Linked DNA regions of Saccharomyces cerevisiae S288C. The gene in region 1 interacts genetically with each later gene. Each region holds a gene or a part of one and is shown on either strand. Other genes may lie near its edges.

Region 1 (3,757 bases):
GTAGCCTTGCTTTGAATAGCAACTGCTGGTGAATCTTGTAGACTTCCTTCGCAGCTTCCATATCCTGAGGTGTCAATAGCTTTTGTTGAGCCAAAGCAGTGACCTGCTGCCAGGTGTTGATATTGGGTGGAATGTTAGGAATTCTTTGCAGTAATTGTTTGGGAATAGGTGCCACTTTCATCTGGTTCACTAATTGTTGTTGTTGAGGAGTCAATTGACGCCTCTGTTGCTGCTGCTGCTGTTGTTGTTGTTGTTGTTGATTTCTTAATTGTTGCGCAACCTGTTGCCTTGCCTGAGCCTGCTGATTCAAGAACATCTGTGGGTTTAGATTCATATTGACATTCATATTATTGGCGCTGTTGCCAGAATTTTTCAAGTTGTTAATATGGTGCTGTTCCACGGGTTTAATGTTGTTATTAGCGGCAGCAGCAGTAACGGCGTTTTTCCTCGTATTGTACGTGTTGCGCATGACAGCAACTTTTTCGTTCATGCTGTCCATGTATTCTTTCTTTGAAGAGCTCTTTGCGAACAAAGCTGCCTCGAAGTTTTTGGCATGAATTCTTATCTTATCAGCAGTGTCGGAGCTCCCTCCGTTCAGAGTGTTAATGTCCATGAGCACCTGAAGCAACCCGTTGACGTTCTTCGCACGCTCGGCATTGGACAGAGTGTCTTTGTCTTGGACAGGAGCAGCAGACATAGCAGATTTAAAAGAAATAGCGTTTTAATCCTTGATCTTTGAGTACGGCACTATACGAAACGATACGCTTATAAAAATGGGGTTTAACTAACAAAGAAAAATATACCAGCACAAGTATATAGCAATGTCGTGGAAGTACTTCTTTGTGGAACCAGCTGTTTCCAGAGACAAATTCCTAGTCCTTGTGAATGGTTGACTATTAAAAGTTTGACTGTAAAGGTTAAGCACCTTCATCATCCTCATCCATAATATAATTTTCTGATCGACGCAACCGGGGCCGGGGTGGAAGGAAGGCCCGATTCGAAATAAAAAAGAGGCCGCCACAATGTAGGGTAATGCCTAATTATATTAACTAGAGACTGACTGAATCATATTACTTAGTTACTACTACTCTTATCATGCAAGAAGATGTGAAAAAGCGTCTTCCCCCAAATCATATAACTTCTGCACCATCCGTGGACTGTACAGGTTCAGCGGGGGAATATGTAATTGCTTGTTAGGATTGCTCTTGGGACCGTAGTATCGCGACAAGGAAGTCTGTGTAGTTCCACTTGATGTGGGCTGCCTCGCCGCTTCTTTTGCAGTCCCTAACCTTATATAGATGCGCACGCGCCAAAGCATGAGGGTACTCCATCATGTCTGTTGCACAAATATCGTAGGTTACTTGACGCTAACGTCATGTTTGATGCTCCGTTAACGAAGAGAATCGGAGCTCTTCATCTTAATCAGGCTCTTTTATAGCTCAATCATCAGTGGAAAAAATTCTTCGAACTAGAAAAAAATCAAGAAGTGAAAAAACTAAAACCGCCAACTGGCTACCCGGATAAGCCCCATAATGGCGTTCCTAGGGCTAGAAGAATTTCAAATCGATGACAGCTGATAGAAAGCGCCAGAGATATGTAGCCTTCCATCAGTAGTAATATCCAATAAATTGGGCACCATGGTTTGGCAATCAGGCTTTTTACCCTCGCCCTCTTTTCCTTCGCCTTTTACCTCTTCTGCATCCAATTTCAGCGTACGTACACAATGATTGACTTTGGAAATTTTCACTTTTTTCCACTCGAAGAAAAAAAATTCCAAACACGGTTCTCCGGTATTTAGGCATCGAATAAACTTTGCTAATCGACTAAAAGCATCTCTGCATATCTATACGTGTATATATTGTATTCGCTACAGCTCGCTCCTTGCATCAACTCTTTTTTTCTTTTTTTTCTTCCAGGTTAATCAATTACTGTACTGTAGCTTCTTTTTTATATTTTTTAGGTTTTCATATAGTGTCTTACGCAAATAGGCGGACCATAGAATGACTGTCACCATAAAAGAATTGACTAACCACAACTACATTGACCACGAACTATCAGCCACTTTAGACTCAACGGATGCGTTCGAGGGTCCCGAGAAGTTGCTGGAAATCTGGTTCTTCCCTCACAAGAAGTCCATCACGACCGAAAAGACATTAAGAAATATTGGCATGGATAGATGGATCGAGATTTTGAAATTAGTGAAATGCGAAGTTCTTTCCATGAAGAAGACTAAAGAACTGGATGCCTTTTTGTTGAGTGAGTCTTCCCTCTTCGTCTTCGATCACAAATTGACGATGAAGACGTGCGGTACTACAACCACATTGTTCTGTCTCGAAAAGCTTTTCCAGATCGTTGAGCAAGAGTTATCGTGGGCTTTCCGCACAACACAAGGGGGCAAGTACAAACCATTTAAAGTGTTTTATTCTAGACGATGTTTCCTTTTCCCCTGTAAGCAAGCCGCTATCCATCAAAACTGGGCTGACGAAGTCGACTATTTGAACAAATTTTTCGACAATGGTAAAAGTTATTCCGTGGGAAGAAATGACAAGAGCAACCACTGGAACCTGTACGTCACCGAGACGGACCGCTCCACACCTAAGGGAAAGGAGTACATCGAGGATGACGACGAAACTTTCGAAGTACTGATGACGGAGCTGGACCCAGAATGCGCTAGTAAGTTTGTTTGCGGGCCTGAGGCATCCACAACCGCTCTCGTGGAGCCAAACGAAGATAAGGGCCACAACCTCGGCTACCAAATGACTAAAAATACAAGGCTTGACGAAATATATGTCAACTCGGCCCAAGACTCCGATTTATCATTTCACCACGATGCATTTGCGTTCACGCCATGTGGATACTCATCCAATATGATTCTCGCTGAAAAATACTATTACACCCTGCACGTGACTCCGGAAAAGGGTTGGTCTTACGCCTCTTTCGAAAGTAACATACCCGTATTTGACATTTCCCAAGGGAAGCAAGACAACTTGGACGTTCTTCTACATATTCTGAACGTTTTTCAACCAAGAGAGTTCTCGATGACCTTTTTTACCAAAAATTATCAGAACCAATCCTTCCAAAAACTACTAAGCATCAACGAGTCACTGCCCGACTACATCAAGTTAGACAAAATTGTTTATGATCTGGACGACTACCACCTTTTCTATATGAAATTGCAGAAGAAAATATGAAAAGCCGCCATTTGTGTCTCCTCATACTTACATAGAATAGCCCTCTTCTATTATCCTTCGCTTGCTTTCTAGCACTCATAACTAATGTAGTTTAACCCGCTTGTATATCTTCTACATCATTACCCCGCATGCTTTTTTTTTTCCTCTAGAGAAAACCGGCACAGATTGGCCGGACCCGGAACAGGAAAAATGGCCACTGAAAATTCCTGGCCAGACCACCCCTGAGCTAAGGGAGTTTAGCCGCTCAAGCTTTTATTTCCTCTGATGTAATATATCACACACCCAGACACGGTTGCCAAGGCCTCGACGGAAGGCCGCTTCAAGGGACGGGGCAGTGGCTATCAGAAATACCTTAATATCATCAATATTTTTCATCAATCGCAAGGTGTCAAACATCAATAAAGGATGATGCTCAAAGGTTTATGCCCGATGTTCTTCTAATCCCCTTTCTCTCCTAAAATAATCCTTTTTTTACTCTTCTTCTTTTCCCCTGTTTCCATTTTTGTCTTTTCTCACCCCTTATGGGACATCAATAATGCAAGTATGTTTATACATTTTTATATAAA
Region 2 (3,757 bases), on another chromosome or scaffold:
GTCACTGAAAGTTTGAAACTTGTAATCAGAGCACATCTCCCTTAGTTGGATGTGGTTGTAGATCTCACCATTAACGCCAAGCATATATTCGCCATCAGCTGAAGTGATTGGCTGGGCACCGGAGTCTAAACCAACAATAGCCAACCTCTCGTGAACGAAAATGGTGGAATTCATAACGGCATTTCCTGACCAATCTGGGCCACGGTGTCTGATTTTTTTAGATAGTTGTAGAGCTTTTGGTTTGAAGTTGTGAATATCTTCATGCTTGAAGGCTGCAAAGATACCACACATATTGTATTGTAGTGAGTATTTGTGTTTTGGTGAGCTTAACTGGGAAGCAAAAAAAATAGTATAAAAGTTAAATTAGAATAAATGAAACTAAGCAAGTGGCAAATCTTTGAAATATGCGATTCAAAGTCATAATTTTTTCAAGAAGAGAGGCTGGATGAGGCTTTACTGATTTTCTGGAGAAATCTTGCCATGAGTCAATGCTAAGAAAATTTGCAAAAACCCGCGCCGTGCGGCACCCATATGTGAATAAAGCTTTACTAGTAGATAGAAAATGTAGACCATTCCTGCAGGGTCCATACTACGGACGTATGGCTTTGTGAATCGTTTCACAAAGCCAAAAGAATGAACCCAATACGCAAGGTCCAGTTATGCAGAGAGCAGCAGGATAGCGGCTGTTGCACGCAACGAGACTGTTCTCTCATGTTTTCCACGATTTGATATATCCCCCTCTTAGTAAATACAGAGCCGTTCGAACGGTTTCTTTAGTAAAATCCAGGCTCCACCTTGATGGGAGGCATGATGAGTTCCAATTAGGAATGAGCAGGAGCTCACTTTAATCTTGTTATCGCAATGTGGAGTTAGCCTTAAGAACGTGTCCAAACCTCTTATGTATTGTTTTGTTCGTAATTTGATCGCTTTGTACGTGCAAATCGCTCTCTGCCCACAGCAGGAAGGACCACATAAGTGAATAAGTAAGTGGTGGTTCTATGATTTATCGGGATCTTATATTTGCATTCTAAAAAGTAAATGGTCTCTAGCGGGATCGAACCGCTGATCCCCGCGTTATTAGCACGGTGCCTTAACCAACTGGGCCAAGAGACCTATTTTTTTCGGAAGTCACTGATTAATAGTTTGATAATACAGGTGTAAAGAGTAGTATTTTCATGTGTCGCATTGTGTATGACAACATATGTGCGTTCGAAATAGATATAAGGCTTCTAATTTTCAAAGAAGGCGGTATCGTTAAGTATATGCATATGTTACGGTTTCACCTTGAGGATTAGAACTCTAAAAAAGGAAATAAGAGTGCTACAAAAAATGACGATTACTTCTTTTTTCGTTCTATGATATCGCCGCTCATTGTTCTATTACATCACCAATCCTTGAAATTTCAGCTTCATTGAATTGATGATGCTTTTAATAGAAACCATTTATGTCATATTTTGAGAGCCATACATGATAATATTCTGGTAATATAATCATAAGTTATTGGTTGTAGTTGGCGTAATATTCCAGGATTACGAATATGTATTTTATTTTACGCCCGCCATGTTGTATTTTTTTATCATAAAATTTTACACCATGACAAATCTAATACCACTGATGCAGTGTACTGTTTATACTTAAGAAATAGGTAAATTTTGAGATAATTGTTGGGGTTCCACAATACTGTCTGTCATCTTCTGTTATTCTGAGTATTTTTTTTCCTTTTAGCAGTTTCTTGTTCGTACCTTGGCCACTGAAAATTCTGGCTGAGACAATTATCAGGAACACTTCTAGTCCTCAAAAGTTCCTTCTCATTTTCTTCTTTATGAAAATATTTTTTCAATCATTGTATGTATGTATTTCTTTTTCCGTTAAAACGCTAAACCAGGGAAAAAAACGACGGCGGGAAACTGAAAAATTTCACAGATGAGGTAAGAAAATTGGCGAAAACAGCTTATAGAGCTTGACACAGAACTTTAACAATTTTAGAGGCAAGAAATAACGCTTGCCTTGGTATAATCAAATATCTCGAATATGTCAACACCCACAGCAGCAGATCGCGCGAAGGCACTTGAAAGAAAGAACGAAGGAAATGTTTTTGTGAAGGAAAAACATTTTTTAAAGGCCATTGAAAAATATACAGAGGCGATCGATTTAGATTCTACACAGTCTATCTATTTTTCGAACAGAGCATTTGCTCACTTTAAGGTAGATAACTTTCAAAGCGCTTTAAATGACTGTGATGAAGCCATTAAACTGGATCCCAAAAATATCAAAGCTTATCATAGACGTGCATTATCCTGCATGGCTCTGCTAGAATTTAAAAAGGCTAGGAAAGATTTGAATGTGCTTCTAAAGGCGAAGCCCAATGATCCGGCTGCTACTAAGGCGTTACTTACATGTGATAGGTTCATTAGAGAAGAAAGATTTAGGAAAGCTATCGGAGGCGCAGAAAATGAAGCCAAGATCAGTTTGTGTCAGACTTTGAACTTGAGTTCATTTGATGCTAATGCAGATTTAGCCAATTATGAAGGTCCAAAGTTAGAATTTGAACAGCTGTATGACGATAAGAATGCCTTTAAAGGTGCAAAGATCAAGAACATGTCTCAAGAGTTTATTTCCAAAATGGTTAACGATCTTTTCCTAAAGGGAAAATATTTACCAAAAAAGTACGTTGCAGCTATTATCTCTCATGCTGATACCTTATTTCGTCAAGAGCCATCTATGGTAGAACTAGAAAATAACTCTACTCCTGATGTTAAGATATCAGTATGTGGTGATACGCATGGCCAATTTTATGATGTTTTGAATTTATTTCGCAAGTTTGGTAAAGTAGGTCCTAAGCACACTTATCTATTCAATGGTGATTTTGTCGACCGTGGTTCTTGGTCGTGTGAAGTTGCACTATTATTCTACTGTTTGAAAATATTACATCCAAATAATTTCTTTTTGAACAGAGGTAATCATGAGAGTGATAATATGAACAAAATCTATGGGTTTGAAGATGAGTGTAAATACAAATATTCACAAAGGATATTTAACATGTTTGCACAAAGTTTTGAGAGCCTTCCATTGGCTACCTTAATTAATAATGATTACCTTGTAATGCATGGTGGTTTACCAAGTGATCCTTCAGCAACTTTGTCTGATTTCAAGAATATTGATAGATTTGCCCAACCACCTAGAGATGGCGCCTTTATGGAACTTCTATGGGCGGACCCACAAGAAGCCAACGGGATGGGTCCTTCTCAGCGTGGTTTAGGACATGCTTTTGGACCCGACATTACAGATAGATTTCTAAGAAACAACAAATTGCGCAAGATTTTTAGATCTCACGAGTTAAGAATGGGTGGTGTGCAATTCGAGCAGAAGGGTAAATTAATGACAGTTTTCAGTGCTCCAAACTATTGTGATAGCCAAGGTAATCTTGGGGGTGTTATTCATGTTGTACCAGGCCATGGTATTTTACAGGCTGGCAGGAATGACGACCAAAATCTAATAATTGAGACATTCGAAGCTGTTGAGCACCCAGATATAAAACCAATGGCCTATTCTAATGGTGGTTTTGGTTTATAGTCATGCCTTTTCTATTTTGCTAGATTATTATCAAAAGCAGAAAGTCTGGGAATAAAAGAAACTAATATGAGCTAACGAAGTGGAGGAAGTAACTTTTTTTTTTTTTTTATAAATTTATACATCTTTCACAAAAAATTTCATAATGTTTATTGTCATGTATCATATCATAATACCTCTTAGAAAA

The links. A genetic interaction does not mean that the proteins touch.
Region 2: mutations in SPE2 (region 1) and PPT1 together harm fitness more than expected from each alone (negative genetic interaction), as found in Saccharomyces cerevisiae (one large-scale study listed by BioGRID).

The regions. Positions count from the first base shown.
Region 1 is NC_001147.6:231,880-235,636, reverse strand, and holds SPE2 (adenosylmethionine decarboxylase SPE2), read left to right. Parts: upstream 1-2,000; coding exon 2,001-3,191; downstream 3,192-3,757. Other genes in the region: GAL11 (Gal11p), read right to left, coding at 1-697.
Region 2 is NC_001139.9:736,478-740,234, reverse strand, and holds PPT1 (protein serine/threonine phosphatase), read left to right. Parts: upstream 1-2,031; coding exon 2,032-3,573; downstream 3,574-3,757. Other genes in the region: ASN2 (asparagine synthase (glutamine-hydrolyzing) 2), read right to left, coding at 1-291. UniProt on the Saccharomyces cerevisiae protein: Protein phosphatase that specifically binds to and dephosphorylates the molecular chaperone Hsp90 (HSC82 and HSP82). Dephosphorylation positively regulates the Hsp90 chaperone machinery.